Linked DNA regions of Coturnix japonica. The main gene of each other region encodes a partner of the protein of the gene in region 2 in a complex. Links are inferred from orthologs where the notes say so. Each region holds a gene or a part of one and is shown on either strand. Other genes may lie near its edges.

Region 1 (2,459 bases), on a different chromosome or scaffold from region 2:
AACGGCGGCGCTCATTGGATAGCTGAAGCAGCGCCCGGATGTGATTGGCTGCGAGAGGGGTGTTGATAGAGTGATGGGAGGCGAGCACTAATTGGCTGAGTGGTGATGATTGATTGGCTGATGAGAGATAACTCTCTCCGTTGATTGGTGCATGCTGTGTGAGCGGGTTGGTCGGCGGGCGGGATGTTATCCGCGCTTTGATTGGAAGAGAAACACCTCAAGGCCCGCCCCCTCCCACCCGCGCATGCGCACTGCTCCACCGCCCCCATGCGTGGTGCTAGGCCTTAAGATGGACGCCATGATGGCAGTACCCCATGCACTGCCCACTGCCCACCCTCAGACCAGGCCCATGCAGGCAGCCAGGCCCCAGGAGCTATAGATACAGCCCTATAGAGCCTATAGGCAACGAGCACTGAGGCCAAAAGGGCTTTAAGAGCTGGAAATCCATAAGGAGAGGGATAAAGGAGCAGCTGCCAGCCCTATAGAGCCTGTAGGCAATGATCAGTGTGGCCAAAAGGGCTTTAAGAGCTGGAAATACATAAAGAGAGGGATGGAGGAGTAGCTGGCAGCCCTATAGAGCCTATAGGCAATGATCACTGCAGAGCCAAGCACTGAGGCCAAAAGGGCTTTGTTTGAGAGCTGGAAAAACATAAGGACAGGGATAAAGGAGTAGCTGCCATTACACAGGGATGGAGCTTCCAAGCTGGGCTGTTGATTGAGGAATGGGGCTCATTTGTGCTTGGCTCGAGGGAACTCCCTCCTGCCCTTGTCGCGGCCCCCGAAGTAGCGCACGCGGTGGATGGCCTGCAGCTGCCGCTCGATGGTGGCCCTGATGTCCACCCCATCCGGGATGTGCACGTAGCGCACGTTCCTGCCCGCCACGAACATCTCGTCCAGCTGCGACACCTCCCCTCGTCTGTCCGTGAACGTCACCTGGGCCAGGCGGATGTTCATGAAGGCGTCGACGTTGGACACTCGTCCCGTGGCCGTGCTCTCGTCGCGGAGATCCACGGTGGTGACGTGGCCGTGCAGACCTTGCAGCAGGATCACCAGGCTGTTCTCGGCGATGGTGCGCTCCTTGACTGAGTGGCTGACCTCCATGGTGGGGCTGCAGCATATGAATGGGGAGATGCACCACCAGCACCTCCACCTGCAGGACTCGTGTATATACACACCAGCATGGCAGCTCCATCGCCTGCCTCCTCCCCTTGCACGCCCAGTGCTCATCACATCCCCCCCTTTGCACACAGGGGTGCCCCCACCCCCTTTATGCACTCACACAACTCCCACCCCACACATTCAGACCCCCACCCAAAACCCACACTCACCCCCGCAGCTCCCTCACCCCACTTTTAGCCCCCATCCCACTCACCGCCCGGCAACATGAAGGGGCGGCCCCTGTTTCTCGCTGCCCCGCTTGATCCCTCCCCGTTCGTCCCCGCCCCACTCGTCGGCTCGGAGGCAGGATGGAAGAAACGCCTTTAATGGCTCACAACCCGTCCATCAGAGCCAGCAGGTCCTCTCCCTTCCCGCAGCTCTCCTCGCACTGTTCCGCCACCTGCAGGTCGCCCATGATTCGATCCAGCTCCGCTCTCCTCGCCGGCTCCTGAGTAGAGATAAAGGCTCAGCCAGGCGATAAATAAAGCTCTTATCGTAGTAGTTTGAATGTATGTGAATTGCAGCTGAACGTACCTCGGTGGCTTCAATGTTCACAACCTTGTATGAGAACTCCTCGGGTCTTGTCAGCGCCGCCTGCCTTTAATTGAAAATATAGAGTGCTTAATGTGGTGCCATCCTGTCACATCCCACCCGTTCCACAGGTCAGTAGTGTTTTTCAATGGTCCATGCAAGAAGGTGGTAAGCGACTCGTACCTATGAGAAATTTAGACAGCACTGCTGTTTCTAGCAGGCAAACTAGGATGCTGATCCCATTTTGGAGACTGAACCCTGCTTTGGGTTTTCTGATGCTAAATGTAAAGCAGTGGAAACGTCTCCCTGCCAGGAGGGGGCTGCAGTGCTCCAGCCTATCTGCCTCCTCACCTCCCTTCACTTATTGCATCTCTCTGAAGTGACTGTAGGACAGGAAAGCTAAGGGTGCTGAAGGCACACACCAGACTGTCAGTGCCCCAGCATCACCTGAAGGCAGTATTAAAGCTGTTAAGGATCAGCTTCAGCCTCCAGGTTTTGTCCACGTATCATTAAATCACAACCCCCAGACCACAACCAGCTGCATCATACTCTTCTTCTTCATCTGTCATGAATAAATTCAGTCGGAATCCTGTCTCACTGCCACTAGGTTTCTTGATGTCCAGACCTCCCAGCAGCCTGGCCAAGAAGTTCAGTTCTTCTTTAGCAAGAGGGTTAGGGGTTATATTCTCCTGCAGAAAACAGCAATGGGTTCATTGGTCAGGTTACCAGGAAGAAGAGGACTAACAAAGCTACTATATTCTCATATTACC
Region 2 (2,628 bases):
CATTACAGCTGAAGTGTAAGAGAAATTTAATCAAGTTCAGGGATAAGAAAGCAATGAGAAAAGAGGAAGAACAGTTCAATAATGAGGTAGAGGGGGAAAAAAATAACATGGTATAGTTCTTAACCAGGTTTGTGGCCTGAGGTGATGACTGTGGAAGAACAGGTCGGCTATATAAAAATCAAGGCACCAACGCAAGTGTGAGCACCGGAATTTGTCAGGGAATCTAGAAACAGAAATGACCAGATGTGAAACAACAAACACTTGTAAGATTGCAAGAAAAACCTTTTATGAAAGGAAACACTGAGATTTGCTGTAGAAAGTGATGGAGTGTCTGTCAGTGGCACAAAAGCTGAACAAACACTCAAGGCAGATGTATCTTATTTAATGCATAAGAAAGGATGAAATAGGCAGACAAAGAGAAATATGGATATGAGGTTAGAAAGATAATCCACAAGAATTGAATGGGGTATCGACACGTAGGCCTGAGTGGAGATATAACAAATACCCTTTGGTCAACTATGAGAGAAAAGGGAGAGGTGTCAAACCAGCAGCCTTTGGCATTCATGAATGGAAGAGGCAGAGACGGCCCATGCAGCTGAAATAAACTAGTTAGAAACTGGAGGAGAGAGAAACACAACTGAAAACAAAATGAAGAAAAACAGTAATTTGTAATGAAAGTTGCTGAGACGTCAGGAGCAGAAAGAAGTTCCTTGTTTCTAGCTCCATATGCAAATCATTTGTGAGGATTCTGTTCAGCTGGCAAGTACAAGGAAAGGCAACCAGGAAAGGTTCAGAAAGAGCCACCAGGGGTAAGGAGATCAATGTTCTGAAACTGGAGTTAGAAAGGAACATCCTGGGGAGAGAAACTGCTGAAAGGAGAAGGAAACTGCACGTGAGGGAATAGCCAACCACATCAACACCAACAACAGCACAACAGGAGGTGGGAACAATACAATACTTCTTAATCTGAGGTACTTTTGTCCCAGTCCGAACTCTGATTTGCTTCTCAGTGGCTGCGCTGATCATCCAACCCCACCTCATCTGAAATGCTGACATAAAAGGTTCAGGCTCCCCCAGAGGCGTAAAGCTGCTCTGCATGTCCAGGAGCTCCTGCTAAATAACTTTTCACCCAAGCACCAGACATACCCCTAACGACAAGCAATATGCTGCATTTGGTGTAATAGAAATCCATCATTCAAGAGGACACTCGCTCAGCCTGAGGACTTGTGACCTCTGTACGCAATACAAGACCTGTTATAAAGCACTAGAAAGCTGCTTTATCTGTTGTCCTGGCAGTTTCACATCTTCACACCACAGCTGCTGGGATCAGAAGGTATTTGGTATGAAAACTGAAACAGTAGCGTGAAATCCAGCATCCTCTGCCATCCAGAAGAACAGACTAAGTAATTTAACAGCATTATTTACCTCAAACTTTTGTACATAGCTCTCGGGAAGCAGTTTATATACACAGAAGCCCGGCCTGATCTGTCATGAGCCGAGTTTAACTTTTACACAGATAGGGAAGAGCCATGACAATTTCTGCTCCATGAGAACAGCTGGAGACAGAGCACCTCTAGTTTCAACAGAGGGAACTTAAAGGCGCTTAGATACAGCATGAAGTGCTCAGCACGAACACTTCTATCTGAGAAGGAAAAGCACAACTTTGCAGATATTGCTATTGCAACGGGAAGCAAATGAAAGAGAGAAGTACAGTTTTCCATATGCATCCACAGCATTTAGAGATGGGTCCTCCAAACGTGGAGGTCCCTCCATCAGCTCTATGAGCTGCTTGCTGGTGATGCATGGCGAAAGCACAGCACTACAAATAGAAGCATCAGCTTTGACACTGAAAACAGATTAAATCCTCACAATCATTAACAGGAGAAGAACAGTCTTCAACTGAGAGGTTTTCCATCCCACAGAGCATTACATTCTCTACCAACCTTCCTGACTTAGCTGTTCACTTTTTAAGCAGTGGGCTCTGTGCTCGTCTCCCTCATCTCACAGAGTAAAACTGTGCTGCTGACCTCACCCTGTGGCCCCCAGCAGAGACTGAAGGAAGCTGCTTTGGCAGTAAGCTCAGGATACTCCTATTAGAATTACTTCCCTTCCCTTGTTATGGCAGTGGGAAACCTGTCACAGTACCATACTCACAAGAATGCTAAATAGTAATGAGGGCTACCACAGCAAGTCATGCTATCAAATAAATACACTGACGAAGGCTCAGCCAAGTCAATGAGCTAAATGGACAAGCAAGACGTTCTCTCCTCGAATAAAAATCTGGTTTATGTGACGTGTGAACACCTGTTGATAATCCACTTTGGGCCTCCTTTTTCTCCGTGCCTGGCTCCTCGTGCGGGTACCACCAGCAGTGGCACCCACTGTGTGAGCAGTCCCGCTGCCCACATCAGCTTCACCTCTGACAGCTGAATGCAAACTGTCTCCTGGCACCTTCTTTTCTCCACCTCTGCCCAAGCGTTTCTGCTTCTCACGTTCATCTTCTTCTCTCCCTCGTCCTGATCCAACTTTCCATCCAGGTGTTTGAGAGTCACTTGTCAGGGCTAGCTCCCCTGATACAGTCTTTGAGTCAGCTCCCTTCTTCACAGAGGCATCCTGAAGCTTGAGTCT

Evidence for each region.
Region 1: LSM11 (region 2) and LSM10 share a complex: the UniProt entries of both Homo sapiens proteins name them as parts of the heptameric ring U7 snRNP complex. The link is inferred for Coturnix japonica from reciprocal best matches to the Homo sapiens genes LSM11 and LSM10.

What each region holds. Positions count from the first base shown.
Region 1 is NC_029538.1:3,591,266-3,593,724, reverse strand, and holds LSM10 (U7 snRNA-associated Sm-like protein LSm10), read right to left. Parts: upstream 1,481-2,459; 5' UTR 1,373-1,480; intron 1,109-1,372; 5' UTR 1,102-1,108; coding exon 730-1,101; 3' UTR 612-729; downstream 1-611. Other genes in the region: protein OSCP1, read right to left, coding at 1,490-1,606, 1,693-1,756, 2,239-2,378. UniProt on the Homo sapiens protein: Appears to function in the U7 snRNP complex that is involved in histone 3'-end processing. Increases U7 snRNA levels but not histone 3'-end pre-mRNA processing activity, when overexpressed. Required for cell cycle progression from G1 to S phases.
Region 2 is NC_029528.1:13,018,630-13,021,257, forward strand, and holds part of LSM11 (U7 snRNA-associated Sm-like protein LSm11), read right to left. Parts: coding exon 2,233-2,628; 3' UTR 1-2,232. UniProt on the Homo sapiens protein: Component of the U7 snRNP complex that is involved in the histone 3'-end pre-mRNA processing. Increases U7 snRNA levels but not histone 3'-end pre-mRNA processing activity, when overexpressed. Required for cell cycle progression from G1 to S phases.